2 linked regions of the Oreochromis niloticus genome follow. The protein of the gene in region 2 interacts with the protein of the main gene of each other region in a pairwise test. Links are inferred from orthologs where the notes say so. Each region holds a gene or a part of one and is shown on either strand. Other genes may lie near its edges. The genes, in order: ncbp1 and rnf40.

Region 1 (16,108 bases), on a different chromosome or scaffold from region 2:
TGGTTCCTCCACACTTCATACAACACTTTGAGGAGGTGCAGCTTTCCCTCGTCGCTGTTGGCCAGAGTCTTCAGGATCTCGTGAAACCTGAAAGCAATCAGACGCAGGTGAGGCCAGCAGCTCTCCAGTCATTTCATGTGCATTCAGAGCATAAAAAGCAACTAAATTAAATCATTTCCTTTTTTTTTTTTTTTAGCTCTTAACAAATAATAGTTTCTGGCACTTTGTATAATAGCAGAAAAACATTTGATGCGTCTCTCTGTATCATAGCTGAATACAATACAATATTTTGGTGTCAACAGATGTTCCTTACTTGCCGAGTGCACTGAACGAGTGGCTGAAGGATTTGGCTGCTAGGTTGAGCAGAGTCTGCAGGAACACGTCGATCTTCAGAGGATTGAAGCTCTCGCCCTCGTCTGGAGGGACCGAGAAATAAATGTAATCAAAGAAGGGAGAAGTGTAGGAGAAAGGCAGAAGTGCACAGATGAACTTTTCATGCAGGACCAAGTAAAATGAAACAGGAAACAAACCATCGTCATCTTCCTGGTTGGGGTTGGGGACCTCTTTGAGGACGGTGAGGATCTCTTCATTAGATGCTCTGTTCTTGATGGCGTTACTGACGGTGATGGACATGGGGTAACCCGGTAATGAGGCTGTGAAGCAGCAGAGTCGTCATTTTGTTTGATGTTACCAGTATTTAGTTATCAGTCTGCTCCTTTTTGTTTTTAAGTAACAATAAAACAAAATGTCTGGCAGTCTTACAGGCACTCTCATCTACATATTTATATGTGAAGATGGGGTCAGCAGGAATGAGGGCCGAAAAGGTTGGAGGCACGATGTCCACTATCCTCTGGTGGTATGAAAGTCTGCGATTAATGCAGCAAAACAGAGAACAGCAGAGAAATTAGCAAAAACACAGACATAGTGAAATTGTTAGACATTAAAACTGATCATATTGGAGAGAAAATAAGTTAAAAAATAAAATATTTTAATACTGAAGCCATTATTTATAAGACATGATGTTTTCTTAGATTATGAAGTCAGAAATTCACAATGAAAAGTGATTTGGTTGAGCTAACTTTATACTTCTTTTTCCCCTCAAATTTTCTAATCCAAAAGGATTTTAAAATGTTTTCTTGTTATTGTACTCTCTTCCCAGCCTTACTTCTTCCCTATAGTGGCCCTGATACACCGTCACAAACACTTAATACAAAGAAGATAAACCCTCTCTAACTATATTACTACACCTGACTCTCGTGTCCTGATCTCCTCTACAGGACTGGAAAACGCAAAGAAAGCATAAATAATGCCCCAATACCTCATGCACTTCTCCAGAACCTCTTTGACAAACTTGGGCTTGGGTTTCTCTAGATCCACGGTCAAGCAGTCGGCCCTTTAAGACAGAGAATGATTTAGGTTATAATATTAAAAAGACAAAACGTATATACGGCCACTTTAAATGCTCCCAGTCAGTCACTCACCAGTCATCCCAGCTCCATCGGAACTGGAAGTTGCTCAAATGATGAGCAAACCAGTTGATTAGTCTGCAAAAATTAGCAGTGTGATTGCATTAGTGTTAAATGAGAGTCAGGAAACACTTGACCTTCTCTTTGTATTATTAAAGTAAAGACACAGAAACATTACCGGTCTATGCAGGTGGTGTTCATGGTGTCCAGTCTCATGTAAAGCATCTCTGTGGCTTGAGCCAACTAACAGGCAGGTGTTAAGGCTCCAATAACAACTTCTAATTGTTAAACCTTTAAAAATTTTCCAACTATAGTGTGTTTTGTACATATGTGCTCATTAAGACAAGTCAAATTTGATCTCCATTTGTATCCTTTCACAGACACTTCTACTCATTAAGCTCCTTACTGTGTTACAGTTAGTGAGTTCAAGTTAAGTGATTATTCTAAATTGCCCATAGGAGTGACTGTGTGTGTGAATGGTTGTCCGTCTCTTTGTGTTAGCCCTGAGTCAGGCTGGCAACCTCTCCTGGGGCGTACCTCACCTCTCGCCGTATGGTAGCTGGGATAGGCTCCAGCCCCCCTGTGACCCAGACAAGGATAAGCTGAAGAGAATGGATGCCCTAGAAGAATTATTCAATTTGATCGGGACATGGAAAATATGTGTTTCTGCATTTTCTGGTGCCTATTTTTGCTGCCTGTATTAAATTATTATGAAGAAAATGTCACAGGGACAACAGAGAGGAGAATCCAGTCACACATTTCAGTTGCTAACCTTTTAACCCCACAGCCAAGGTTGACCACGATAAACTATTTCACCAAACTCTCAGTGTCTCAGTAGTGAATCCTGGGGTTTGAACATGGATTACATAAGACCGAATGCTTAAATACTTAGGCCCTGTTAATCTAAACTAATCTAAATCTAAATTAGAGATGGCCACGGTTGTCTTTTGCAACAGTTTGGTGCATTTAATTCAAACAAATGTTCAAATATTTCAAAGGAGCAGTGAAAAGGGTTCGCACTAAAGGTTATTTTTAACATAAAATAATCAAGGATACGACTTGGGGCAACGATCCAGGCTGGAGTTTGCAGAGCTCGATCAGCAGTGTGGTGTACATGACATCGATGTGAGGCGGCGAGGGCAGCTGGAAAAGTTCCCCAAAGATCACCTAAAAGAAAAAAGGCAAAAAGCCAGCAGATTAGACTAAAACAGCTCAGCACTGTTTCTTTTTTTTGATGCCAGAAACAAGAAAGAAAATATACCTCGACGATGTGATAGTTGAGCGGGATCTTATTTTTCCCTGGGTAGCTGAGGAGCTGGGCGGCGCTGAGCGTTAGAAATAGAACAAGAAAAAATTAGTTTAAGTCTTTTAGTAAAAATTAATAGGAGTGACTATTTATTCACACATTCAGGTTTAAAAAAAAAAAGAAGCCCTCATTACTCACCATGTTTTCCTCTCTTTCCAGTGAGTTTTGATAATGCAGTGCAGGTTTTCCTCTATAACAAATCTCTCCACAGAATGGCTGCCAGGCATAACAGGTCCCTGAAGAGAAAGAGATGAGTATGTAAAAAGTTGCAGAAGAAGAGTTTGACAGACAGTGTTTTATCTGTAATGAACCTCTGGGGCGTCGGTGTAGTCAAACATGCGGAAGATGACCCGGGGCATGGGGTACTGGGCGTCGGGCATGTGGCCCGGTGGGGTGAAGGGGGGCAGGTTGTGCTGCAGGGCCTCGCAGAGCACGCTGTCAAAGGCGATGTAGGGACGAAGAATGTGACGCTCCTGCCAGCGGTCTTTCTTCAGCTTCTGAATCTGAGCCCAAAGGCAGTCCAGGTACTGGAGGAAGGAAGATACGATCCGTTTACTCAGACAAAAACAAACATTACTGTATCCAAACAGCAAGGTCTAGTAAACATGAGGCCATAAGGAGCCACTTTTACTGCTCTGACCATTGCACATATTTGCTGCTGTTTAACTGACTACAAGACTCTCACCTCCTCTTGTGGATGGGGTTTATCTGCAGTCCACACCTGCAGCATGGGGACATGGGTCTTTACTCTCCTCCTGAAAAATGTGGACGTAAAAATGAAACAACGGCAGCAAACGATGATTGCTTAATTAAAATCTAACCAAACCGGGGAACGTACTTGAGGTAGCCTTCGATCTGGCTGAGGAGCCGGTCCATCTCCACGTCCTTCTTCTCATAGAGCTCCTTCCCGACCCAGGGCAGACAGGACAGAACGACATACACAAACCAGTCCGACCGAACCTGACGACGTAAAAGAGACCAGTTACAGAACTTACTCACAATCCACCAGTGTGGACTGTGACACAGCCATGGGCTAGTGCAAAAATCAATATGTGCTCCATAATGATCACGTTTAAAGACTTTCACCAAAATTAAAAGAAAGAAAGAAACAGATAAATCAAATAATTACTATTTTAATGTAAAGTCTGACACAAATGTGAACATTACAAATTATTTAAATTGCTTTTGGGTACCATACAGCTTGCTTTACACCATAAACCGTCTGCCTACCTGTGGCACATCTTCCTCCTGAGTAACACTGACAAAGTTTTCAAACATGGCCACCATAGAGGGAGCAGCAATCACGTGGCAGTTGACCAAATCAGACAGAAAACGCACCTAAAGAAAGAGATGTCATTATGAAAAATAAATGCCAAAGTGGCCATGTTAATTAGTTTAAAAGCAATCTGTAAGATTATTATACAAAGCCAGCATACCAAGTAAACAGCTTCACTGTACAAGTTGTTTTTTAACGTCTCCTTCAACTGCCTGATCATGGCCTCAACGAACTCGCCCCCAAAGTTGTAGTTCCTGGCGTTAAGGAGGCCGACTAAGGTCGTATACACGGTCAGCTTCTCGGGCAGGAGGCGGGCACTGTCAACAAATGACAACATATGACGACTGCAGACACACAAAACACACTTGCAAAATTTATTAGAAATCAAAGGGTGAGAAGAGGTGTGAACGTACACAGTACATAAAATGCGCAGAATTTTGCTTTTGTAGTTTGGGAGGTCTGCCTCTAAGACGCCGGCCAGGCCCTCCAGGTTGCTCTCGAGGGACGATGTGCTCTGTAAGGAAATATTTTCGCACAAGAGCAATTTGTCACTAGAAGGCAATTTAACACAAAGCAAAGAAGACATATAAAGAACATTCTGGCATTTACTTTTAGAAGCAAAGTTTTGCACTGAACTTGTGAGGCTCAACTCTCTAGAGCGGAAAATGAAGCTACTCATCCTGAAAATAAAAATGTGTCCTTCCTGTAGTGTCTCCTTACCTTTTCCCCAACACGACATATCAGTGATTCCAGACGGTCTTCGATCTCAATCGGCTCCGATGTTCTCCTCCTCTTATGGGCTTGACCTCCTGGAAAGGTGAAAGAGTAACACAATAATCAGAGCCAGAAGAGGCTCAACCAGCTCCTGTAGGAAATATCTGTCAGTTTCTCTTAGCTAGTGCACTCTTAAAAAGAGATTTTTAATCTCAATGAGTCTTCTCAAAGTTAGGATGATAAATTCTCTGCTGTGTTCATCAGTTACACTGCCATTTCATGTTCAGTGGTTTTCAGACAGCACAGGACTATGAATTAAACAATGAACTGATAAAAATAAAGCTTTGTGAAGTTCAGAAAAGCACACTTACACTGTCATTTAAAGAATAAGAGCATTAACAAAACATCAATCCAGCAATTGAATTGAACATTTAAAGCGGACCAAATTATTTTTACATTATTTTTTTCTTTATTTTCTGTTATTTATATAAAGGTTTATTAACACTGTTAATATATTAAAAGTAAGGATGTAGTCTCGAGTGGTTGTTCGTTATGTCTTATCAAACCAAACAGCACTGTATCAACAGCGTTCTCTTTCTGGGATTAATAAGTTATTTTCCTGGTGTCGCATGCAGACTGCCACATCTAACAGCAGTTCTATACTTGCACTATAAATGCACGGCATAGGTACTTCATACTAGCAAACTCCTTTGAAATCTGATGACTTAACCTGACATGCTTCTTCCTGGAAAAGAAACTACACATCACACTACACAAGTCATTAAAGGGCTTCAGCCCTAAATATATATCTGAGTTGTTTTATAGATACAAACCCAATAATTCTCTAAGGTCTGCAAGATCTGGTCACCTAATAGTGCTTGAATCTGAAACAAAACTGAGTAATAAAGCACTTAGCTGCTATGCTTTTAACCAGGGGTGTCAAACATGAGGGCCAGGGGCCAGAATCGGCCCAAGAAAGGCCCCCATGGGCAGCTTTCAAAAGTGTCAAGGAGGGTATTAATTCTGGCTTCTTGATTGTATTTTCATAACTTTTATAGGTTTTTATACAGATAAAGAACTCCATGGCCACTGATCCTATGCCAAATTAATTAAGCAACAGGTGAACAATTAAATGACAGATATGTTTCCGTTCACTGTAGAAATGTATAATTTTTAAAAGACAGACAAAAAAGACAGGTTTTATAATTCAAACTGTATGTGCCACTGTATGCAGCTGTATGTGAGCCATGACACAAAATTTTGACATCTCTGCTTTTTACTACCATCATTGCTATTATTGTTGTTGCTATGAATATTACTACTATTACTGCATTTTTCCCTTCTTTTCTTTTCTGTTTTAATCTTAATCTTGTAAAGCATCTCGAATGACTGTAGTGTTTGAAAAGTGCTATATCAACAAACTTGCTTTGCCCATGTACATATGCAAAGTTACCGTAGTCCCAGATTAAGAGACGAGATCTGATTTAATCTTTAAGCAGACCAGGTCCCATTTAAATTCAGGATCTTGCGCTCTACGGGAAAACATTTGATATTTTTAGGTGATTTTCCCCGCCCATAAATCCAGATCCATAGTTAAACTTTCAATCAGATGTTAACACTAAATGTCGTGCATGTTTTGCAGTGTTTGGTTACCGCCCCCATAGTCACTGGCTACCCTGGTTAACGCCAGCTAATCCTGCAGCTAACTGCACCGGTTCATTTTGCGGCTGCATGCGACAGTTTGAGCACTTTTCTCGCTTTCAGTGCGCCACAATGTGACTGAATACCTGCGGTCATCAATGGTTTTGCACTTTTTGGATGTCGTTGATAAAACCCAAACATCAAACTAGTAAAATAACCCTCCCAACACTGCGCAGGGGACGCATGAAAAGCTCGCTAACGCCAGCTAGCCACCGCTGGTTAGCCTAACGGTGTGAATAATACACGCCGTTAACGTGCACCGACTCACCGTCGTTCTCATCGCTGTGCCGCCTCCTGGACATGTTTCACCCCGCTTCGATGTGAATGTAACAAAGCCAAAATATGTGTTGAACGAGAAACAAAACAATGAGTCCGTTAAACGAGTTTATCTATGGATCATTCAGCAACCAGCCGCTCAGAGAAAAATAAAAGCGGTCTGATTCAAGTGAAGCACATCCGGCTAACCCGGAAAGTGCACCCGTCTTTGGTGTCCGGAGTCTTGTGCTGAATTTTCTGGTGCACGTTTGGAGGATTTGTTTGTTTGTTTCCTTAAAATAATATGTGAGACTTTGTGTTTAATTCTGGTGAGACGGGTTAGTCGCTAATTATTTTAAAAGCTCTGTAAAAACACAATGGCGGCGGAAGATACACCCTGCTCAGAGTTTATAAACTGGGAGGTTGACTCTTCAGTTTGTAATGGATTCAAACACGAGAAGCAACTTTCTGCCCCACAAAGGAGATACTACAGCTTCTGCAGGAGAAAGGTGAGCATCAGGACACACTGACTGGAATCCCTGTTTTATGGTTCAATTGTTGGACATATATAACGATTATTGTGAAATTTCCAGATATTTCGCACATTGAAATCTGAGGCAATGTTTGAACATTAATATCTCAAAATCTAAGAAAGATAAAAGCCTCAAATTGTCACTGGCCTCTCTTAGCATCAAAATGAATCTGATCTGTAATCTGTATTTTATAGTTAAAATCTGAAAATACATACAAATTTGAGCACACTCATAACACTCACTGCAACTTCAAATTGCAAAAGACAATTGGTGACAGTTTACAAATTTATGAACAACAATATTAGAAAACGTTATGATCAGTTTTACATTCTGTAATTTTGTATTTGTAATCAGTGGTTTCTCAGCTGTGTGCTGGGAGTGTAGCAGAAAAAAAGTAGTTCTTCTTCTTAAAAAATATTGTTGTTGTTGTTGTTGTATAACTTAATAACTTAGGCTAAGGAAGGCTGATGCTAATATAAAATGTTAGGGACAGATTTAAAAATTCAGATGTCAATATGTCAACTCTTATTCTTAAATTTTTATTACAAACAGTTGTGCAGTGGTCACAGTCTTTACAGAAGGTTCTGGGGTTTAAACCTGCTGGTCTTTTTGTGTAGAGTTTGCATTCCCCCCCTGCATAGGTTTCCTTCTGGTACTTTGATATCCTCCCATGTCCTGTTTTACAGTCTGTAGTGGACTGACAGGTGGGGTGTGCCCCACCTACCTTCCAGTGTCAGCTGGGATAGGCTTCATCTCTCCCAACAAACCTAAGTTGGATAATATAATAATAACACAATAGTAATATATTGTTAAGAAGGAAGGGTCATTATTTACCAACTTTCGAGTCGTTTATTTTAGAAACTGATACAGTTTCTAAACTACTCTGGACAAATTTCAATATTATCACATATTGGGCAACATATGCACCAAACTGTGGAATACGATCACACAGCCACTGTCTTATATATAAGTCTTCTATAAAATCTTAAACATCTGTTTGACCATGTTAAAGATTTATCTCTTTATTTGTTTTTTATGTTATCCCCTCAGTCATTTGCTGCCTTTGTGGCATCCAAGAAGGACGGTAGTCACGAGGAAGGAAGCCCTTTGTGGTGCTGCTGCGGCCAGACGTTCATCGAGCACGCCGCCATTCACAAACACGTGGCCAGAGTGCACAATGCTGAAATACAGCAGCTCACACAGGACGAGTATGAGCGTTTGTTGAGCCAACTGGAAGAAGAGCCCGAAGCAGCGCAGGTGCAGTTGAATGAGCACAGTGGAGAAACGGTGGACGTCTCTGTGTGGATTCCCGATATCAGCCACATCTCTGAGGAGCAACTTAAAAAGTAAAGACAATCTGAATTCAGTTATTTCACTATATTCTATATTTCTAATCTATATATGTAGATTATTAATGTGTCCCATTTTAATTTTTGAATTTGATGTTTTATTTTTGTTCGTTGTTCTCTCGTTCTCTATCAGCGGTCCAGGCAGGGTTCTGCTTTACTATCACTACTGTCGCGTCGAGGAGCCACATGTCATCTGTGCTTGGCAGAAAGCTCTGTGTGAGAAACTCCACTTAACAGGCAAGGTGAATGAATTCTCCTATCTTGCCTCGGGCTGAGGAACACTTCTATGAAAGAGCAAAGAAAAAAGGCTTTTCTCTTAATTTCAGTGAAACTGTGCCATTAAAATGTATGTTGATCTTTTTCTTCAGGTGAGGGTGGCGACTGAAGGCATCAACGGAACAGTTGGTGGCACCAACTTGGCCACTGACATTTACATGGAAGCAATGCGTTCACATCCACTGTTTGAGATGGATAAGGAGGATTTTAAGGTCAGATTCAGATAAAGGGAAATTTTATATACCAGTGTCACCTCCCCCTCTTAATATTGCTTCATAGAATAGAATAGAATAGAATTCAACTTTATTGTCATTGCACATGTCACAGGTACAGGGCAACGAAATGCAGTTTGCATCCATCCAGAAGTGCTTTAGCCGTGATATAGATATATTACAATATATATTAGCAATAATAGAGATGTGTAAGTATATTACAGAAATGGGTCTATTATGGTATGTTATAATGTACACGGTATGAAGTATGTTATGAATATTCTATAACTATAAGTATGTACAGGCTGTAGTGAGTACAAGCTATGTACAGGCTATGAACAGGATATAAATATGAAAAACTATACAGAATATGAAATAAAAACTATACAGAAATATGAGATATACAGTTATACAGAAATGTGAACTATGCAAGTTATGAACAGTTGTAGGATTAAAAATTATCGTATGTACAGAATGATTATTTACACAGAACTATACAGGAGTGCAGTTAAGATAAGTGAGATATGTGGATAATTTCTACAGAGGCTATATAAAGTGCTAGTGGTTGTGAGTGGTGGTTCAGTCCATGTTATTATTGTGTGTTTGAGGGTACAGTTGTCCATTGTGTGTGTGTGTGTAGGTGGTTGTGGGTGTGTGTATGTTCAGTCCATGAGTTTAACGTGGGTCAGATGTCAGGAGGCAGAGTTCAGGAGTCTGACAGCTGTGGGGAAGAAGCTGTTCCGGTACCTGGTGGTCTTAGTCCGGAGGCTCCTGTAGCGCCTCCCAGAGGGCAGGAGGGTGAAGAGTCCATGTGATGGGTGACTGGGGTCTCTGATGATTTTCCCAGCCCTTTTCAGACACCGCTTCCTGTAGATGTCCTTTATGGCAGGAAGTGGTGCTCCGGCGATGCGCTGGGCAGTTTTCACGACCCTCTGCAACGCCTTCCGGTCCGATGCAGAGCAGTTCCCGTACCAGACTGTTATACAGTTGGTCAGGATGCTCTCGATGGTGCAGCGATAGAAGTTCACCAGGATGTCTGAGGACAGGTGGTTCTTCCTCAGAGTCCTCAAGAAGAAGAGGCGCTGGTGAGCCTTCTTGACCAGCTTGGAGCAGTTGGTCGTCCAGATGAGATCCTCGGAGATGTGGACTCCCAGGAACTTGAAGCTGCTCACACGCTCCACAGCCGTCCCCTTAATGTGGATGGGTGGATGTGGGTCATAGGATCATAGTTATAGGCTCCATCAGGGTGTGGTTTGTCCATAATCAGACTTTAAATGGCCTGTATTTGTATAGCGCTTTCCTAGTTCTTAAGGACCCCAAAGCGCTTTACACATCCAGTCATCCACCCATTCACGCACACATTCGCACACTGGTGATGGCAAACTACGTTGTAGCCACAGCCACCCTGGGGCGCACTGACAGAGGCTTTAAGCAGTTATTAATTTATTTTTGTTAATCTTTGAACATTAATGGTGCTGTTTTTGTGGGTTTGTTCAGACCAGTGACGGTGGCGCAGAGTGTTTTACAGAGTTGAAGGTTGGGGTCTACAAGGAGATTGTACCAATGGGAGTGGACCCTGATGTTATATCTTACCAGCTGGCAGGTACTATTTGTACTATTTGTAATGATACTATAAGCCTATAGAAATTATTAATAATGTAAGTTACACCTGTAGCTGATTTACTAACATCATTGCCTTTATTATCATAATAAGGTGCGAAATGTCTGCTTTGATTGCTACTCTGCAGCCATAGCTGTGCTCTTGTACCAGCTGCTGAGAAACTCTATGCTGTGCTTGTATATAATGTCAGGTATGTGTCTGTTTTGCCTCTCAGGAGTTCATCTGGAGCCCGAAGAGTTTCATAAAGAAGTGGAAGCTCTTCTGACTAAAGGAGATTCATGCAATGACACCATCCTCCTGGACTGCCGCAACTATTATGAGAGTAAAATTGTGAGTAGAAAATTCATTTTCTTTAGGAGATTGTTGACTTCATTCAAAAGTAATCTGATTAGCTTGGTGGTTTCAGGGTAATGTATGATCTTGGCTTTATCACATGACATGCCCAGAGATTTATGGTGTAATTTCAAGTTTTTTGTGCACCATCTACACAAGCTACCATGAGCAAATATGAAGGATGGGCAGAACACTGATATTTGTAGCTGGAAATAATGAGTCTGTATCCAAACAGAAAAGCATGACTGGGATCAATTTCATAAGCCTCAGTATTTTAGCCAGAAGCAGTGGTATTGAGATTGTGCTATTATAGAGTAATGTGCAAAGGCTGTTACAGTTAATAATTGCTAATAATTGCTTTTTTTTTTTTTTTTTGCCTTCAGGGGCAGTTCACTCAGTGCCTGGCGCCTAATATCCGTAAGTTCAGCTACTTCCCAGACTACGTGGACCAGAACCTTGAGCTGTTCAGAGACAAGAAGGTTCTGATGTACTGCACAGGAGGGATCCGCTGTGAGCGTGGCTCCGCCTACCTCCGCTTCAAAGTAAGCTGTTCAGTCATCAGTCTGGAAAGCTTTTAGTGGAGCTGGGTTCACTCGCTCACTTGTTGCAGGTTGCTGATTCTCCACAAGGGGGAGCCTTTTACTAGTAGTTTAGGTATTGAGAAATGCATATTTTTGAAAGGTTTGCATCTAATATGTTAAGTTCTTGTTCATATTTATCTCTTAAATCTGGTACCAGGATGTGTGTAAGGAGGTTTACCAGCTGAAAGGTGGAATTCATAAGTACCTGGAGCGTTTCCCCGAGGGGTTCTATCGTGGAAAGCTTTTTGTGTTTGATGAACGCTACGCCATCTCTTCAAACAGTGACATCATCTCAGGTTAGTGTGTAAACAGAGCCCATTCTCTCATTGTTAGAAGTATCAGAAAGCATCCATAAGCTCTAATATTCTCTTAATATACGTGTCATTTTTAAAAGAAAATAACAGTCTCTGTTTAGATTGCAGGTACTGCGGCCATCCATGGGACCAGTACAAGCTCTGCTCCACCCAGTACTGCTGCCAGCTGGTTCTGTCCTGTCCGAGCTGCAGACTGGACGGCCACACCGCTTGCTGCCCCACGTGCATGACCAAAGGTCAGGCTCAGTCCGAGGAGACCTCACATCATAAAGAGGAGTGCGAGTGCACTGACGGACGCCCCAGAATCCCTCAGGATGTGTAAAATGATCAGACTTCAGTGCTTAAAAATAACATAAACATAGTGTAAAATGTGTGTGACAAATTTTCAAAATAGGAAATTTTATACTTATGTATGTGGGAAATTAAGTCGGATACATTTTAACTAATGAAAATATCTGCTGAACCTGTTTTTATCATGTGAATATTGTGAACATTTTGTCACTAATGAAAGCTCAACTTCAACTTATTGTATGTATTAATGTTTCTGTTTCGTACTTTTAAACTGTGACAAATATTTTGTCTCTTGTGTTTTCAAGCTGCTTAACAAACAGATGCATCATTATTTAGTGCTCCATGTATAACCAAGATATGCATGCATTACTAAGATGCATGCACATTTGCTTTCCAAACTCTGGCTAGTGTAGCTTACTGAGAATGCAGTTGTTGTTTAAAGAAACCACAAGCAGTAGTGCATCTGTTTGCCTCGTGGCAGAATGTCCCTTTAGCATATGTAATAATAGATGCATATCAAAAACAGCTCCAAAGTATGCAGTTACATAATAGGTTCAACAGGTCATAGCATCAAAGTTACAGCAACAGAAGCAGTAAATGAAAGCAGTAACTAAAATAAAGAGTAAAATAAAGTTTTAAGAAAACATGATATGACAGACATGAAAGAGTGAGGTACCTGCCTGTTCTGGTAGGCCAGTCAAGCTGCACAGGGCTGGGCTGTGAGGACATGTCTCACTAAAGGACGCTGGGCCCAAATGATGCTTGGGGAATCTTTTTTTTCTAACAATTTGGTCAGAAACATGCAAATCAATAGCCAGATGGAGGAGGCATTCTTCATCCTGTTCCTACTCAGACAAAGGAGCAGATATCGATTCTACTGGGTATGTATGTGGACCTGTTCAGCTCTCCTCTCTATAAAGGCCCAGTATCTCAAGACTGGAACAGGATGTATCTACACTCTCAAGACTGTGCAAGGAGACATATCATGTGTGGTTACGCTATCATTCCTTTCCAAAAATAAACTAAAACCATCAGCAGGATATACAGAAACATCCACTACAGTATAATTTTCTCTCCAAAACCCCAAGCTGGAGATGATCTGAGACTATGCTTTTCTTCTGTGTAATACTAATATCTACCAGAAGTACTGAATATGTACTGACTGAGTACCACTGTTCAAAAATTGAATAAAGAAACAAACTAATTTTTGCCTTTTTTTTTTTTTTTAAATTTAAAACCACTTTATAGAACATCACATCAGTTACAATGTAGAATCCATGTCATTTATAGTTTATAAAAGACAATGTTTACATAAAATCATGACAGTGTTTACATGATATCACCCACCACTAACATTACTTACTGTATCTTTTGAAAAAATACAGCAATTTTAACAGCACAAGACTTAAGAATATTTAACAGAAGCAAGTTTCATTTTTCCCTGGTTTTACTACCACACTGTTCACCAAACGCAGCGAACCTTCACCATCTTATCCAGAAGGGTCACCTCTTCACCCTCACATGGAAGAAGTAATCTGATTGGCATGGTGATATGTTTGAAGCAGGTCCCTTGTGTAGCGCTGGAACCCAGTCACGATGTGTTTCATCCATTTCATAGGCTGGTTTGCCTGCAATAATACCAAATAATTAGCAACTCTATAAATAGAAGGTAATTCTGCAAAATCCCTCAGTAGGATGTTTGTTCTAATTTGCTATGACCTCAGAGTGCATCGCAAATAAAACTAATAGGCTATCCGGTTGTTCAGTGATGACCTGAGGAATCCTACTTCCGGGCCTAAAGTAGTCTGCGTTTAATATGGCTTTTGTGTTGTTAACATGGTTAATGTTTTGTATTTTCTTCTATTTAATCTCAAAAAGCTCCTAAAACAGTCAGTGATCACTGTTGACCTCCCTCGGCTTTTATTTACCGCTAATCATTTATTTAAGCTCAGTTTTTAAACACCTTACGATGTAACTACAGCACAGCCCATGCAGCAGTATATGAATGACTAACCTCGTATTGTGGATGGATTATCTCAGTTGTTCTCCTGACTGAAGTTTGGTCCTTTTACATCATCCTACCATGCGATTACATTTGTTCCTGACCACCGAGAACACTCACGTTAACTTTTATCGAGTGGAAAAAAATGTTAGCTTGTTTATATTATACTAACATAGCTGTGTCACTAGCGGTCACGTAGCACATCATTATATACCAGCTAGCCAAACTTCAGTAACCCTACAAACGTCACTGCTGTTTAGTTTTCTGTCTTCATTTATGTTGGAAGTGATAGCAGAGCTGTACGTTTGAATTTCTTTCCAAAACCCGCAGTCAGGACATTCTATATTGTATTTAGATGGAAGCTAGCGAGCTAACTTCCTGCTAACTTATAACACCGTTAAATGTCATAAATTCCATTTTCATGGATGCCTGGATGTTAAACTCAATTGTTACACCTGGTAGAGCAGAACACTGATCATTTTATTAAAGATGAAAGACTTTAGACAGTTTTTCAACTCTCAGTAATGCCATAGTGATCGTTTGATATATGGACCTGCAGCGGAGTTTAGGCCCAGACACGGCCAGTGACGTCAGACTGAACAACCGGATAAAGAGTGATATGAACATATTTAGAGCTTACCGGAATAAAACTGTCTGGAGCACACCAACGGATATTTGGAGATGGAAGAGAACTGGATATCAGCTTGTCTCACAGCTGCTATCCAGGCTAGACGCCTTTTGGTAACATCAATACACGAGCTGCCTCATGTTGCTTCCAGGTTGGGAAATAATGTAAAGATAAACCATTTTCAAGCTTATTCTCTTGCCGGTCGTGCGATCGAACATTGCAGCGGACCACACAGCAAGTACGAACCATGGCTGTTGTGTGTGCTCCTTTTTCGCTTGCGCTTTGTTTAGACCCCCAAAATGGCGGATCGGGCCAAAATCCTTTCCACGCCCACCCCCGTGACATCACGCTCCAAAGCACAAAGTGGGCGGGGCTACGATCAAAGGCTTCGAGGCTTCAAAGAGATGACGTCGCACGAGAAGTCTTAAATAGACCCTGTGTAACGGATGTTTAAACGCTTTAACAAAGACAGACTACATTCTAAGGAAACAACTAGATTATCAAACACAATGAACAACAGATTTTGGATTGATCCAGACAGTAACTGGATTCATGCCTACATTAATTCAATCCGTGTGCCAGCCCAATCTGATCAAGTTGTGAGCATTATAGGAGGAAATATCAATAGTGACCTTAATGTGATTCATGACTACATTAATACAATCCGTGTGCCAGCCCAATCTGATCTAGTTGTGAACATTATAGGAGGAAATATCAATAGTGACCTTAATGTGATTCATGACTACATTAATCCAATCCGTGTGCCAGCCCAATCTGATCGAGTTGTGAACATTATAGGAGGAAATATCAATAGTGGCCTTAATAATATTACTACCAACTCTTACCGTTATCACGATTTTCGTTTTGGCTGCTTCAGGAGTTGTGGATCCTCTTCCAAAATACAAACCAAAATATCAATTAAGAGGCCAAGAACTCAAAATAATGTAACCACAAAGAAATCCTTTACTCCACATGAAGCCAGATCTTTAGTGGAAAACTGTATGGAAGAACTGGTTAAGCGGGCTGTAAAAAATCCGGCAAAGTCATCAGTCCGGAAAAAGTGTCAGCCATCTACAACAGGCTTACCAACAACATCTGGGCTGAAATCAAAGATGAAATTGATCAAATCCCCTTCGAGAAGTTCAAAAACTTCCACAAGGTGATTTTCAAAGCCCTGTGTAAAAAGTTTAAAGATTCAGACTTAGTTATACTAGGCTTGGAATTAAATCAGCCAGCAATCTACAATATGA
Region 2 (16,480 bases):
GTGAGACATTATTCTCCATGTTTCTGAGCATTAATAACAACGAGTGCTGTCAGCGTTAATCTCGTTTAAGTGACGTTAACACCTTAACTGCATTAACGCGGCAAATCTCTGTTAACGAGTTACCGCGGATCGCCCCGTGCGTGGGGCTGCACGGCGTCAGCGTGGTTACCTCGTTAACGGAGATTTGCCGCATCAATGCAGTTATGGTTAACGTCATTTTAACGAGATTAACGCTGACAGCACTAATAACAACACATACAAGTTTAAACTGTAAAAAAAACAATACAGAACAAACAGACTTTCTGCCAGTGCACTGCAAGCTTAGGCTTGAAGGAGCTGCTCCGGAGTGTCATCGTTTCTCTGAATCATAAATCATATTAATGTTGACACAAACACACAAAGAAAAGCTCTGAGAGTCACCTCCATGTGCTCAATCTGTCGGAGATGGGCGTTCTTCGCAGTGAGCAGGAGAGCCCGTGCCTCATCCAGCTGGGTTTTCACTCCTAGAGACTCGTTGTACAGGAGGGAGAACTGAGACTGCAGACATTTGTACTCCAACGTTTCCTTCACAACCTCCTCTGGAATATTACGCAGGTCCATCTGAAAAGCCCAGATGTGGAGTGAGATGACACGCAGGGCTAAACCATGAAGATCATTCAAATAAAGAAGGAAAATGAAATTAGCCTCCTGTCTCACAGGTATGCAGATTCAAATACATTTACCTTGAGCTTCTCACTCTCCCTCACAGCCTCCTGGAGCTCCACCTGTAGTTTCTCCAATTCTGCCATGCGGCTATTTGCCAGCTCCTGGTTGTGCTCCAGCTCTGCATTGAGACTCTCAAACTATTAAAAAAAAGAAAAAAAGAGCACCACATTGATAAAGAAATGTGGACTTTTGGGGGCAAGTTGCATATAAAAATGTGTTACACAACACTAAGTAAAGATTTAAACATGTACTTTCATCTAACCTTTTGAATATTCAGTGTAATCTGGCCTCCAGCCAGCCCACCTGAGCTGCCAGTGCTGCTGTATCCTGACTTTAGCTGCAGACAGAAAACACAGAAAATGTGTCAGGAAGTAACAACGTAAAGTAAATGATTCTTATTGTGTGCATTTAAAAAATGTGTCACATCTGCACATGCAGTTATAGACAAACAATCTATTTTAACTAATAACACTTGTGTGCATATCCACATAGTTTGCATCAAAGTCTTATAGTGTACATTTAAAAGGAAAAAGGAAAAAGAAAAACAAATCTTGCCGACCCGGGCTTGAGATCAAATCCATGAAGCAAGATTGGAAGTTTGGGGTTAGAGCTACTTTAACTCACAAAAGCAGAAATATTTAGTTTGTACTTCAGAAGAAACATCTGCTGAGGTGACTTCAGCAGGTTCCTGTGCTTTCTAACTAAAAACTGATGATTTGCATAGAGATGGAAACTCACAAATTAGACCTGCAATCAGCCTACAGAGAGAAACAAAATCTGTGGTGTTAGATGATCCAGCAGGATACATTTGTCAAACTTCAAAGTAAAGCTTACTACAAAAAAGGGCAATCTGCCTTTCAAAACAACCACTCAGAACTTAGATCTTAATCCAATCCACCTCAAGTGCACACCAGACTTTCTAAGAATATGCCAGACCTGAAGCAGCTCTGTAAGGAAGCATGGACTATAAACCAGCAAAGATAAACTAATTCCAATTTGCACTATCATGAAAATATGTAACTAATGTGTTCAACAAAGACTCAAAAGAATACATTTGGCTAATTAGTTAAAGCGGATTGTGTTTGTCTGTACTTATGAACAAAAGCATACAACTCTACTTTGTAATTCTTCTGACATCCAATTTTCATGATCAGAAAACTGCTGTGCTTCTACTGATGCACAGCCAACCTTTGGGCTGTGCATCAGTAGAAGCAGCTGTTTTGACATGCATTGATGCTTACAGCCTTATCAATGTCAACTCATGTATTAGAGGAAAAACGACAGAGCCCACACCTAGTGGAAAGATTTAAAAATAAATATGCACACTATAAAAAGAAAGAAAGAAAAAACAAAAGGGGGCTGATGCAAAAGTTGCAAGGGGCCATTAAACAACACACCTGCTCCATGGCCTCTGCTAGATGTTTGTTAAGCTTTTGTTCCCTATTGCGCAGTTTCTCAATGTCCCACTGCAGGTCCTCCACCGTTGTCTCCATCTCAGTCACCTTGGTCTCTGAGCTGGTCACCTTGTCCACAAGCTCATTATACTGCAGGAGAGTGGGACATGTGAATAGTTGCTGCATCACTAAGAATTAGCGACCATAAGAAATTGTCTAACTAGTTTTCCTCATTCATTCACCCTGACACACTCGAAATAACTACACTTGCAAACAGTCAACGTGCATGGTGAGTCGCTTAAACAATACTAAGGACATTGTACCTCCATGGACATCTTATGGTGTCTCCCCTGCAGGAGAGTGGCTAAGTCTCGCAGTCGAGTGTTCTCGTCCAGCAGAGTGCAGTTCAGATTGATGATGTCAGACTGGCCGTCATCTTCAAATCCTGCCAAACAAAAAAAAAACAAAACAAAACAAAACAATACTGTCATTCTAATTTGGCCAAACTAACAAGTATCAAAGGAAGCACTCCAACAACTCAGTTATGATGCATTAAACTCAAGTATCTAGTAATTAGTTTAATGTAAACGATGTAAGATACCGTTGTCAGAGGTTTACTTACACTCATGGCCATGAATCTCAGGGTAATTTGGACTTTTGAATGATTTCTTTGAACTGTTCTTTTTTCAGGATAGAGTGATTTTGAATTTATTTTAGATTTTTTAAAACCACACAGGGTCAAACGTATCCATATCCAAACACACACACACCCACTTTAAATGAGTGTATGTATATATTTGATTCTGTATAAAAAAATTTAACCCTGTGTGAATTAGAAAAAATCCATATTAAATTCAAACTTGTGCACCTAATTTTTGACTTTTAATGTCATTAATGATAAAAAACTGGAAAAAGAACAGTTCAAAGAAATCACTATGATAAACGTATGTAAACTTCTGACTATAACTGTATATTTAAGTGTCAATAACAAACATTTCTCCACAGTTACCTGCAGCTTGGACCACCTTGCACATGTCACTGATGTGACTGTGCAGCCTATCAAAGACGCAGACCAAGCAGGCGATGGCTTCTTTGCTGAACTGCATGCGGTCCTGGAGGTGCAGAGTTAGTTCCTCCTCGCTGCTCTGCTCCAGAGTCGACAAGAAACCCTTGGCATTTTCACTCAGGGGAGGAGGTGGCGGTGATGTATCTGCACATATGTAAAAATGATAAAGTCAGCAAATAACAATTTACTAGAATTCTTAAATATCACATTTTTTTTGAAAAAAATGAAAACAGTATATATTGCTAGCACAGTGTGGTCCAATGTGGTACAGTCTGGTATAAACAAGCATTTTCAAATTTGTTATTTAAATACAAAGCAAAGAAAAAGCAAATCTATCAAATACAGACTGTGTAGACTGGGACTAAAGTCTTGATAATACACTAAAATTCTGCAGTTTGTAGCCAGCAGTACATGCTAACAGATGAAAGAAAAGCTGCAACACTTGCGTTCTTTAGCCCACTATCATTCCCCTTTGCCTCACTATAATTTATTAGGCATCTTGAAAAATGGTCAATACACAATAAACAAGAATATCCTTAAATTACAAGGCATGAAGTGCAGTATTGTTGCATAAAATTAGCTATCAATATAAATAGTAGTGACTCACACTGATGTAACTTCATGAGTAATGAAAGTCATAAAGATACACTAAGTTAAATTGAGAATGAATGAATAAGGCAAACAGATTACAATAGTCTATGACAGACGATTTGTCATTTTAAAAAATTGCTAACCTGTTTTTGAATCCGATTGTGACTCTGATGGTGTCAGTAAATCATCTGACCCAGTGGGAGGAGGGGGCTGCTGCTGCTCCTCTTCCTGACGCTCTTCCTGACGCTCCTCCTGTTGCTGCTCTGGCCGCTCACCCTCGTTCTGGGCCTCTGGCACAGGAGGGGGAGGCACGCCAGAAGGCGAAGCCAGGTTGACACTATCTTCCTCCATTGGTGTTTGGTCAGGGATGGTTGCTGAGGGTGGGGCAGGGGTAGAAACGACTGGAGGATCTGGCTCAATACGTTTACGCAGAATGCGCACGTTCTCTTCCAACTGCAAGTCAGATAGACATAGAAAGAAGAAGGTGTTAATTCTCTTTACAAGTTATTACCATGAGTTTAAGCCTTAGTACAGCTAAGTATACGTATAGCGACACTGCTTTTTGATCCTTCGATGTTGGCTCTTCCTATCATTGTGAAGCAGAATTCACCAAGCGTTGGATTGTTCACCTACCAACAGGGAACGTGAGCTGGGATTAGACCCTACTGATGATGTGTAGTTGCAATAGTAATCCTGCTCAGTACAAGAGGAACTGCAGGTTCAGACATTTGGTGTATAGTGCTTGGCTGAGGAACCAAAGGTGCAAAGCTACCATCTGCAGGATTATGACTGAACAGCCCACCGGTGAAGGAGAGCTGTTTGTGACTGGACTGGGGGACTGGGGGACAGCCGAACAACGGCCGCCCCTCTCCAATTGTGGACTCATCTTTGTGGAGAACCTGGTGCTAAATAACTTCTAAACATCCTGATAAACGACCAATACCTGTCACTATGTGTACAATCAGGTTAAGGCAGGCAGGTGGAAAACATGTACAGGATACATAGGAGGAGGAGCCTGGACCTATGTATATAACAACTATCCTCCTAGACATGCTGATCAATCTGGATGAAACCTACTATATAACCTGCCTAAGGTTCCAGAATTATCTATAACACCTATATAGCTGTTGGGAGTTATTTTTATAACACTCAAATCCTTACAAATTATAAAAAGATGACAATCCATCAGATGGAAGAGCTGGGCAATGCTTTCTTAATTTATACATGCACATGTGCCTGCTATAAGTGGTAGCACAAAAAAATGTTAAGATCTGTAATTACCAGATATAAGCCAAATTGGTTTGCCTCATCCAAATGCAAGCGTGCTAAAAATAGATTCATCTGACTGCTGTGTTTACATGAGGTTTTGATAAAATGTGCCAGTTCTTAAATCAGGTTAGAGTGGAAACTAAAATTCAAGAATGGATTCTAACAATATAATGAAATGCACAGAATTACCTGTGACCAGTAGCGATTAACAATCAGCAAGGTAGTGTCATCAGTGGCTTGTCTCTTCTCCAGCTTCTCAATTTTCTCTCTCAGCTCATCCTCCATCGCCTGTCTCTGCTCCAAGCGTTCACATAGCTTCTTATTCTTGAACTGGAGAACCTTCATGTCCATTTCCTCCTGTAATTAACAAACGCATACAAACAGAGAAATGAAATAATGAGTGTTAGGGATTGTAGATGTTGTCTGGCAAAAATAGATGACAGATTGTGCCTTGAGAACGTGATGACCATATAACTCACCGTAGAGGAGACTCCAGCTATGCGTATTGGCTCAATTAGCGTGGTGGTGGTCTTCTCTTCTTTCTTGCTTTTCTTTTCAGGTGGGCCAGGGGGGCTGTCCCCGCCTGGGGGACGCTTTCCTCCCCCAGCACCTGACATCTTTCCTTCCCTGCATTACATCAAGCAAGGCATGAAGAATTATAATTCATTCATTTTGTGACAGCAAAGGGACGGCGTTAGCCTTAAATCAAAAATGCAGACCTCTAATTTTAAAAGGTTCACTTTTCTGCTCCACTAGCATTTACATGCCGAGTTATTACTGTATAAAGGCATGCCTGCAGAACTACCAACCATCTTAATTCCATATTGCTACAAAGATTAAAGATCTTTTGCAAGCTTGCAGCTTGCTACCGCTAACCATGCTAATGCTACGCTAAGGCTAACGGACGGCGTTATTGAGTCAAGATTCCGAGGTGGTCGGGGTTTTTATTCATTATCCATCACTACATACACAAAATGTTCTTAAACAGTTATATGTGTGTCTTTTTACAAGAGAAATTTTATCATTACAAACCTTAACAACCAGTAGTTGAAACGTAAGTCAGGACATCAGAGAAGCAACAGGAAATATGCAGCTAACGCTTCTTCTTCGTTGGTTTTAAATATTCATTACAATAACGGGAGAGCATTAGCGCCGCCTATTGCTTGCAATTCACACAATGTAAAGATCAAGTATTCCCGTTGGTAACAACAAGTTGTAAATTAAAAAACACACTCAAAACACGGACTACTTCCTTGGGATACGGTGCTTTGAAGTGCAGCTACTTGAATTTATCTGGAGAGTGTATTCGAGACCTCAAAAATGCAAACCATGCTGCCACGTCCCCTCCGGCCTCTCGGGGGCGCTGCTGCGGCACACTGTAATAATAACTTCCAGGACTGTGACCAGAATGTAAACAGTGTTCAGGTGATAGCTGACTGCTGTTAACGCTAACGGTAGCTAATTTCGTTACTGTAGCCGCTTAATCGCACACGTTATGGCTTCACAATAGATTCCTCGACCCCGAGAGGGCTTCCTGATTCCCCGTTTCCCTCTCTGTCTTGTCGTTTGATTGCATAAATGGTGAGTAGCTTCCTGTTCGGTCAGTGAACCTGCTGCTGTATCAAAGCCATAGCAAAGACAGTTACATAACCGTTTTGATGGACCTCTAAATAACAATAGGTAGAGGAGATGTGTGTATATATAGAAAGTAAAATGCAAGTTTGACCTGCTAACTAGATTTAAACTAAAGCTAAGGGCACAATACTTCCTTATCAGGAGTTAGGTAACTAGTTCCTGTTTATTTAGAACCACTGGTACAAACTAAGACACGTGACTGTTCTTTTAACAGCTCCATAAGCTGTAAACATGACCAAAGACATCGTTGTTGGGGACGAATTACCAGACTGGGTGGGGGCCAAGGAGTTTTATCAGAAGTATGATCCTAAAGAGGTGATTGGCAGGTAAGTCAACCAAAATAGCCTGGGTGTTGTGATGTTGTGAAAAAGCATCCCCTCCACCCCCCCTTCATGATTTGTTTGTTGTTGTCGTTGTTTTTGCACATTTGTTACACTACATGTTTCATATCATCAATAAATTTTAAATATTAGACTAAGATAACCCAGGTAAATTCGAAATGCAGTTTTTGTTTAGTAAAGGTGGAAAAAAAGTTATCCAAACCTACCTGGCTCTGCGTGAAAAAGTAATTAACCCTCTTGTTAAATCACAAATTGACCGTGACTAACCACATTTTTTTAAAGAGAACAAACCACACCCAGGCTTGATTACTGCCAGACTGCTGAATAAAGAAATAATTTAAACAGAACCTTTCTGACAGGTTAAAGTAGGCTGAAAGATCTCAAAAAGTAACACATCATGTCATGATCTAGAGAAAGAGCTGAGAAACAAAGTCATTGACATCTATCAATCTTGGAAGAGTTACAAAGACAAGCCTTTGGTACTCCAGTGAATCACAGTAAGAGCCATTATTGTCCACAAATGGAGAAAACCTGAAAATGCGGTGAACCTTCCCAGTGGCCGGCCTTAACATGACTCCAAGATGCCACTGAAAAACATCCAGGAGGTTACAAAAGAACCCAGAGCTATATTTAAAGAACTGCAGGCCTAACTTGCCTCAGGAGCTGCTTTACTGCTTCAGAACCTCAATAACTTGCTATAATTGATGAAACAATGAATTCTGCACTCTACCAGAAGATCCAGAAGGAGAATGTACGGCCATCTGTTAATCCACTGACACTCAAGACCACACAGGTTATGCAGCAGAACAATGATACAAAACACACCAGCAAGTCTGAATTCTAAGAAGAGTGGGACAAAATTCCTCCACAGTTATGTGAAAGACTCGTTGCCAGGTATTGCAAATGCTTGAGTGCAGTTTTTGCTGTCAAGGGTGGCACAGCCAGTTATTAGATTTAGGGGGGCAGTACCTTTTTCACACAGGGCCATGTAAGTTTGGATAGCCTTTCTCCCTTAATAAATGAAATCATCATATAAAAAAGTGTGTTCAGGTTATCTTTGTCTAATATTAAAATTAGCATATTGATCTGAAACATGTAAGTGGAACGGGGCAAATGCTGTGCACCGTGTGTCCTTTTTGATCATGTTGAAAATACACTTTATTGTATGCTCATTGTCAGGGGTGTGAGCAGTGTGGTGCGCAGGTGTGTGCACAGACACACGGGCCAGGAGCTGGCGGTGAAGATTATCGAGATCACAGCTGAGAAGATGACAATCCAGCAGTTGGAGGAGGTGAAAATCTCCACGCTGAAAGAGATCCAAGTGCTCAACATGGTGAAGGAACACCCCTCCATCAGTACGTTGCTGTTCTCTCTCCTTTTGTTAAAGAATCATTAAATTTATCTCCATAAAGTTTGGTTAGTGTTAAAGCTTTCTTGTGTTTCATTCCCTTTAGTCACCCTCATTGATTCCTATGAGTCTGCTACATTCATATTTTTGGTGTTTGACCTGTGAGTATGAGGACAAAAAAACTATTAAACTAAATTTTTTTTACACTCCCAACCTGAAATTCAGATTTCTTTCCACAACATTTGTCAATTTGCTGTCTTTTGTTGTCAGCATGAGACGTGGAGAGCTGTTTGACTACCTCACAGAAAAAGTTACCCTAAGTGAGAAGGAAACCAGGTGAGCCACAGCATGACTGCACTATATCTGTATTAATTAATACTAGCAGCATTTTGCATTGGGCACATGATAAAGTTCTGTTTCTGCAGACCATATTCCAAAATATGCCACCCCACAAGATTTTATATAAAAGTTATCCAGCGAGCAGCTCTGCATTAAAGAGCTGCTGAATATCTAAATATAATCACACGTTTGGTGTCGCCACCCACTTTTAATCTCGTGTCACGCCGCCCAACTTAATCTCACATCAAGAAAGCGGAAGCCTGAAAGCTGCAGCTTTTAAAAAGAAAAACACTTTATCGACAAAACATTCATGTTTTTGGGGGTTGTTTTTATATAAAACTGCTCTTTGTAGTTTTGTAGTTTTTGTTATTAGCGTTGTCCTGCTGAAAAATGCAAGGCCTTCCCAGAAAAAATGTCTGGATGGGAGCACATGTTGCTCTAAAACTTGCATATACATTTCATCACAGATGTTGCCTTTCCAGATGTGCAAGATCACAGTCACAGTGCTGCTTTTTAGCTTTGTCACTTGCGTACAGAGATTTCTCCAGATTCTCTGAGTTGAGGTTATGGGAGTTCATATTATGTATAGTCGTCTTTGCAACTCATTGAGGAACATTATTCTGAAATTGCTTCACAATTTTTAGATGCAGGTTTTTGCAGATTGTTGACTCTCTACCCATCTTTATTTCTGAGAAGCTCTGCTTCTCTAAGATTTTCATTTTATAGCCAATCAGCAATGTTGTGTATCCCATGAATAATCAGAATAATCAGGCCAAAGATGATTAAAATTACACAAACATATTACACAGTGTTTACTGTGAACCTTAGACATGCTTGGACGAAATCTATTTAACAAGGATCTAATGTGTGTATTTCGGTTCTCTATAGGAGCATGATGCGAGCTCTGCTGGAGGCCGTGCAATACCTTCATTCCCTCAACATCGTACACCGGGATCTGAAACCGGAGAACATTCTCCTGGACGATTATGGCCATATCAAACTCTCTGACTTTGGTTTTTCCGTGCAGCTACAACCTGGGGAGAAGCTTCGAGGTATGGCTGTACATCATGAGCAGATCCTGTGACAAGTGTTCATCCATTATTAGTTTAAAACGATCTTTTCTGTTATAATCAGAGCTCTGTGGGACACCTGGTTATTTGGCGCCCGAAATACTAAAGTGTTCCATGGATGAAATGCACCCAGGCTACGGCAAGGAGGTCGATCTGTGAGTCTGTCTTTGTTCGGCGGAGATTTACAAACGTACTACTCCTTACTGCCATTTCTAACATTTGCATGGTGTGTGTTTCTAAGCTGGGCCTGTGGAGTCATCCTCTTCACCTTACTAGCCGGCTCGCCTCCGTTCTGGCACCGTAAGCAGATGCTGATGCTGAGGATGATAATGGAGGGTCGCTATCAGTTCAGTTCCCCAGAGTGGGACGACCGGTCTGACACTGTGAAGGATCTGGTAAGCTCATACAGTCAGCTTATTCTGTACTGTCTTCTGCAGCAACCCTAATATTGACATTTCCAGTGCAAAGAATAAATCATATTGCAGTATTTGCATCTCTTAAATCATTCATGTGTACTTGTGTAACCTTTGTGCTTGTGATACTCAGATATCCAGGCTGCTGGTGGTGGACCCAGCTAACCGTCTCACTGCTGAGCAAGCCTTGGCGCATTGCTTCTTCAGGCAGTACCAGCGGGAGGATGTGAGGCTCTTCAGCCCCAGAAAGACGTTTAGGGTGAGCCGCTGTGTTAGCCCAGCATTTTTATTGCCGCTGACTTAAACTGTCTGTGAAGAAGGAAATAACTTCCACATGCTTCCATGCATCCAGGTTCTGATAGTGAGCGTGCTCGCCTGCATCAGGATGTACAGCCGCTACCGCAGGGTGCGGCCGCTAACGCGGGAGGTGCTGGCGAGGGATCCTTACTCCATCCGCGGCGTGCGCAAGCTCATCGACGGCTGCGCTTTCCGGATCTACGGGCACTGGGTCAAGAAAGGGGAGCAGCAGAACCGAGCAGCCCTCTTTCAGAACACTGCTAAGATCATGCTGCTAGAGCTGGAGGAGTTTGAAACATAAAAGGTCAACCTCGTCGCTCAAAATCGCTTTTATGTATCCGTTTGCATGTGCTGTCATTGCAGTGTTTGCTCCATCGAGTTACTGTTTCAAGATAAGGAATGCAGGGACGGGGGATCTTTGTGTGCCTTAATGCGCATCATGGCTCTGAAAGTTCAAGATAAGCATGCACCACTTAATATTCCTTATCTGTTGTTGTCTGAAACTCCCTGTCAGGTCATCCGGTTTGCAGTGCAATTTGTGCAAGGTGTCCTCTAGGGCAATCTCTTTGGTAAAACTCATCATAATATATATTTAGGATTTTATGTGTTAATCGTCCGTTATAACTGAGTAGGCCAGTGGCGTCAAACTCATTTTAATTCATGGGCCACATGCAGCCCAATTTGATCGCAAGTAAAAGTGTTTCATAATAAAAATCCATAAAAAAAAAATCTTAAAAATTTTCCTTTTCTTTTAGCAGCGAGTACAATTATGTATTTAATAAATCCTACGTTAACTAAACATGATGGTGAAATTAAGTGTCGCTCTTAACGACTTACAAGATACTGCCCATCTTTACTGCATGTGTGGCCCACGGTGTGTGTGTTTGACCCCTCTGATGTAGAGAATGCATTTCTAAGCACTGTGTAGGTTAAGTGGAAATCAAAGCACTCAGATTAGTTATTTCTAGGGGACCTAGTATGCTCATATTGACTCCACTTGAGTAGCTTTGCATGATTCACGGTTTATAAAAACCCTTGTATGTCTTTTACTGCGCATTAGTGCAGACCTTCAGGCCACACTACCATTAAGCCAACTTTCTTCATTATTACCTGAAACTTTAATACAACACCTAACATTGCAATACTACAAAGACAGCAGAAAATAAGGAAAAAGCATAATAAGTCTCCTTTATTAGACACATACAGGTACATAGAAGTGCTGCGTTAAAGCTCAGATTGACATATATGCCAGTATTACGAGTCAGCACTGGGGCACATGTGTGAAATATTCAAGTTAAATGTTTGGCGTGTTTCTGTCATGTTTCGTGCATGCAAGCATTCCTCAACAGGAAACCCACTCAAGACTAACTGTGAACATCGTTTGCGACTGTAAAACTAACAAGCACCATTCCTAACTCAGTTCATTCTTTCATCTAGAGAGAACTACGTTTTTTTGATTTCCTGGAAGTGCCTGTTTGGAAAGAAAATCTGTAATTATATAAATGCAGGTATAAAGTATGTTGTGCTGTACATGGAGAAAAATGGTTTTATTGACAATAAAACAAATGTTTTAATCGTGCTGCTTTGCAGGAGTGCTTTTTTTAAAATCTACCGCATATCTAGATGGGGCAAAAAAAAAAGTGTGTTATTTTTTGGCTTTGTGGCTGTTCTGTGAGTAATCTAAAGCACTGTTTTGCTGAGATGCTTTTACTTTAATCCGCTGATCTAGTTGCCCAGACACAAGCGTCATCTGCTCTCTGACTTGTTGTTCTATCAGCGCCTTCAGCTCAGATGTGGCTCCTGAAAGTGAGGAAATGAAGCCGTTCCATGCATGACATTGCTTGGGCTGTGTTGGACTGTAAAAGTTACGCCTGCAGCATAACTGCAGCGCTGCCATGATTTTTACCTGCTGGGGCCGCGATGGAGGCTTGCTGTGTTTCAGGAGACGTCCCATCTTCCGCCTCTGTCTCATTCTCAACACCTGGTCGGATAAAAGTAATAATAAATATAGCTCAGTACTTTTTTTTTTTTTTAATATCCCATTTTTAATGCAACACATAACAAGGCAGGTGCTGGATTGGAGGGATGCTTTCAGATTTTTTTGTTCTCTTAATATTAATTTCCACAGGAAGTGAAAATGAGATTAAGAATGTTTTGCAAGAGTTTGGCAATGCTTGGTCAGGCAGCACAGCTGATCCAATCTCGCTCCAACCACAACTGTGCAAGATTGGATCACACATGTAGTCACTGCAAAGAGGTAGAAGACGATTTTTATACACTACATGAACCGAATTTCTGAGCCAGCTATACAAAGAAATCCATGCCATGAAGCTTCCGGCACACTGTTTCTGTACTGGTGATAATTCCAGAGAAGGGTCGGAGCTCTGCAGTTAAGTGAGCCAGCAGAGCATTGGCTAAGTTTCTGCGTTTCCTAAAAGCTTCTACTTTGCAATAATCTCACTTACAGGTGATAGTAGAATATGTATGAGGGAAGAAATTTTACAAAATGAACTGTTGCAATGGCGACATCCTATTACAGCGCCATGCTCAAATTCAGTGAGCTCTTTAGAGCGGCCCATTCTTTCACAAATGTTTGTAAAGGCAGACTGCGTAGCTTGTTGCTTCATTTTATGCATCTGTGGCAATGCGACTGAAAACATCTGAATTTACTTTCTTTCTTATCTTAACACTGTATGATTTCAGATTACATTTTCTTTCTTTTTTTTTGTCTTCCTTGTCTAACAGCTTTTTTTTTATGCCAAACACGTTTGCTTTTCCAAGATGAACTCTGTAAATTCTCTGTAGGCTCTTGTTCGTGTGTTACTTTTATCTGTTTTTGTTTATTCATTTCTATTCCTGTTATTTCTGTTAATACAGTATATGTGTGATATGGCATTGTAAGCCTACAGGCAGGAGGGTAAAAGAAAAAAGGGAACAGGGGAGAATAAAGGAGAGAATAAAATATAATTGCTCTCCCTCTCTATATGTAACTTTAATGTTACTAAAAACTTTGTTTTTTACCTGGCGCAGAAGAATCCTCCACGGTAGGGGATCCAATATCCGGCATCCCAGAGTAGCTCAAAGACAGATCAAGATTTACCTGTTTGAAAAATGGTGGAAAGAAACCTTACCTAAAATCACAGACTCACATTAATCTCTTCTGATGTTTTCATGAAAGGTTTAAAAAAACAACAACACATATATATATACATATACATATATATATATATATATATATAGATAGATAGATAGATATAGATATATGTAATTTCTTAATTGTAATTTCTTAATTATAACGTAATATTATTTATTTATTATAAATTATTTATTATATTATACATTATATTTAACGGTTTATGGTGTCATGTTTACGATTGCTTCTTCTCCTTCTTCTTCTTTTAACATGTATTTGGTACACAGGGGGCACTACTGAGAACAGGGAAGGTGCACAGAGGGTAACTAACACGGCTGCCCACTGCCACCCCTAGAGGCCATCGCCAGATCCTCCTGTCTCAGGAAAAACCAGGGCCATCACAGGTGACCCCTGGTCAGCACCTCAGGGCAATCAGGTCCTACACCTCCAGACTCACTAACAGCTTCTTGCCCTGGGCCATTCAGACTGTTAACACTATCCCCCCACACCCCACCCTGCCCACCCACCTCTGGCCACTCATACACAGAATCTATTCAGACCAAGTCTTTTCTTTGCACTACCTCTAAGCACTTTGCTCTCCACTGTGTGCCTTTCTATTGCTTTGTACATACATATATACATATTCCTCTAGTTTGTATATATCTCTTCTGTTCCTATATATTCATGATGTCTTTACTATTTTTGTTTTTTTACTCCTGCATAGCTGGCGTGGAGCACCCATAATTTCCTTGTATGACAATGACAATAAAGGGCTATTCTATTCTATATTTGTTTGTTTGTATATTTGTGATATAATTTATTATTTCACAAACGAGCATGTAGCACTAAAGACAATCTATGTGCTTTAGAAATACATTTTACTTTACCTAATGACAAATACTGAAAACTCAAGTCAGTTAATTCATGACATTACCTGTGTGGTAAAGATATATTTATATAGCTTGTAGTGTTTCATGTAGTTGTTGAGGATGTATGTTAAGACACGGTTAACCTCATCAGCATTGAAGAGGCTGATGCTGAACGGAGGCCGCTGTAGAGGGGAGACACACACGCACACGCAAACACACCATGAATCAGCATTACAGTCGTGGATCTGTATGAGTTTGAAAATGAAACCGTGACTGCCAAATTTTGCACACACCCTGACTGAGTGGCATAACAGAAGCTCCCTGCAGTACTTGAAACACTGCTCCGAGTTATTGAGTGGAGTTTCTGCAAGAAAGGAGGTTCAGACACATGTCATGTAAAGTTAAAGGACACTTTAGCATTTAATGGTGGTGATGCAAGTCACGTGACACTAGGTCAACAATCTTACTGAGTTAATCACTAACTCAATAAGATTGTACAGTATTTCCTTCAATTGCCTAAATACTGTATTTTTTACAGACTTAACAGAAGAGATGAGTCTGCGTTAAACAAACGTTGTGAGGAGAAGAGATAATTTGTACTGTTTTGATTTTAAACACATCATTTTCAAAGCCAGATAGACCCTGCCTTGCTGACTACACATAGTTAAGATAAAGCTACTTTGCTTACCTACGTTGGCTTCATGAATGGACTTGATAATGGACAAGAGAGTAGACGTTTGTTCTTTGTTGAAGCTGTGCTCTCTGCAGAAAAGCACAGTCTGAACGTACAGCTCCAGAAGAACTCCCTTTCTGGGTTCAGGGAGGTCAACTCCAAGCACACTGCACAGAGCACTGTCACGGAGGAGAACAAGAAGCCCCCCTAAATAACGTCTGTGCCCTATAATTGAGTGATTATTGTTTATAAATGAGTGACAAATCCAAACCTCTCCAGATCGGGAATGGATTGCATTTTGTTGATCTCTTCCATATCATGGTAGCTTACATCTGTCCTGAGGGAAATAGATTCATGGATAAATATTACAATCAGGCAGGCAAAGTGTAAATAAAATGGAAGCTAACGAAAATGATCTGCACCGTGTGTGTGACTCACCATAGCATCACTTTAGCTTTCAGGTCATGTGGTAGCTACAAAGGAAAACGATGTTTTTTATACACTGTAACCCATTACAAATAATAATAAAAGCTCTGTCAAATGTAAGCTATAACATGAATATTTATGCCAAAAAGGTTTTTTAAAATTAACACAGGTTAAAAGAGTAGGAAGTAAAGAGAACCGAACACAGAAGTAGCGAATAAAACTTGAAGAGCATACCTTAATTGTCCCATCCATTTTTAAAAGTTATTATTTCTTTAGGTGAAATAACTAGCTATAGTTAAAATGGACAGACTTCAAAACGTGTTTTACAGTTTAAAGAAATATATCAGAAAATAAATCTGCCTGGAGTATGCTCCGCTTTGTTAGCCACCTGTATCCTAGCAACAGGCCACTTTTTCCTTTTTCCGGTTCAGGGTCCTACAAAATAAAACAACTAAAAAAACATTTGTTATATGTATTATTTATCACATTATTATATATCATGTTATATAATTTAATAGATCTTATTTATGCAGCAATGCTCTTAAAGATAACGGCATGAGCCGTATTGATTTGTTATTAACTTACAATTTAATGTAAAGTGAAGTGCCCCCCCACAAAAAAACGAAACAAAACAAAAAGATAAACAAAACAATAATAATGAATTAATTAAAAACCTCATCACTTGGTACATTTGCAAGTCCTCGGCTAAACCCATGATGATGAGATCAGCGCTCTGTGGGAGTCATCCATCTGCTGCTGGATTTCTTGTTCTTGTGGCTGAAAATAGGAGGCTAATGACCTTTGGCTGTATGTTTTCGGATCGTTATGCCAAACGTAGTGCCAACATACTGCAGGATGAAGAGTCTAAAGTTAAATCTAAAAATAAATAGAGAAAAAAAAATTGCAGGCGA

Evidence for each region.
Region 1: the proteins of rnf40 (region 2) and ncbp1 interact in binary tests that used the Homo sapiens proteins (3 or more experiments, as listed by UniProt). The two-hybrid records come from large-scale screens. The link is inferred for Oreochromis niloticus from reciprocal best matches to the Homo sapiens genes RNF40 and NCBP1.

The regions. Positions count from the first base shown.
Region 1 is NC_031966.2:10,217,411-10,233,518, forward strand, and holds the start of ncbp1 (nuclear cap-binding protein subunit 1), read right to left. Parts: upstream 6,916-16,108; 5' UTR 6,766-6,915; coding exon 6,732-6,765; intron 4,858-6,731; coding exon 4,769-4,857; intron 4,563-4,768; coding exon 4,462-4,562; intron 4,366-4,461; coding exon 4,209-4,365; intron 4,111-4,208; coding exon 4,003-4,110; intron 3,733-4,002; coding exon 3,611-3,732; intron 3,528-3,610; coding exon 3,458-3,527; intron 3,300-3,457; coding exon 3,084-3,299; intron 3,009-3,083; coding exon 2,911-3,008; intron 2,792-2,910; coding exon 2,728-2,791; intron 2,634-2,727; coding exon 2,523-2,633; intron 1,710-2,522; coding exon 1,645-1,709; intron 1,545-1,644; coding exon 1,482-1,544; intron 1,394-1,481; coding exon 1,319-1,393; intron 867-1,318; coding exon 763-866; intron 654-762; coding exon 531-653; intron 417-530; coding exon 314-416; intron 88-313; coding exon 1-87. Other genes in the region: tstd2 (thiosulfate sulfurtransferase/rhodanese-like domain-containing protein 2), read left to right, coding at 7,096-7,227, 8,302-8,597, 8,734-8,842, 8,969-9,088, 10,586-10,691, 10,924-11,039, 11,426-11,584, 11,781-11,919 and 1 more. UniProt on the Homo sapiens protein: Component of the cap-binding complex (CBC), which binds cotranscriptionally to the 5'-cap of pre-mRNAs and is involved in various processes such as pre-mRNA splicing, translation regulation, nonsense-mediated mRNA decay, RNA-mediated gene silencing (RNAi) by microRNAs (miRNAs) and mRNA export.
Region 2 is NC_031973.2:19,403,530-19,420,009, reverse strand, and holds the start of rnf40 (E3 ubiquitin-protein ligase BRE1B), read right to left. Parts: upstream 6,208-16,480; 5' UTR 6,058-6,207; intron 5,653-6,057; 5' UTR 5,643-5,652; coding exon 5,505-5,642; intron 5,383-5,504; coding exon 5,215-5,382; intron 4,210-5,214; coding exon 3,900-4,209; intron 3,310-3,899; coding exon 3,109-3,309; intron 2,545-3,108; coding exon 2,423-2,544; intron 2,250-2,422; coding exon 2,103-2,249; intron 1,043-2,102; coding exon 968-1,042; intron 843-967; coding exon 723-842; intron 601-722; coding exon 421-600; intron 1-420. Other genes in the region: phkg2 (phosphorylase b kinase gamma catalytic chain, liver/testis isoform), read left to right, coding at 6,892-6,986, 8,181-8,356, 8,456-8,510, 8,620-8,685, 9,577-9,740, 9,823-9,913, 10,000-10,153, 10,305-10,430 and 1 more; cfap119 (cilia- and flagella-associated protein 119), read right to left, coding at 12,114-12,268, 12,375-12,449, 13,490-13,568, 14,536-14,652, 14,764-14,834, 15,159-15,322, 15,415-15,480, 15,582-15,616 and 1 more.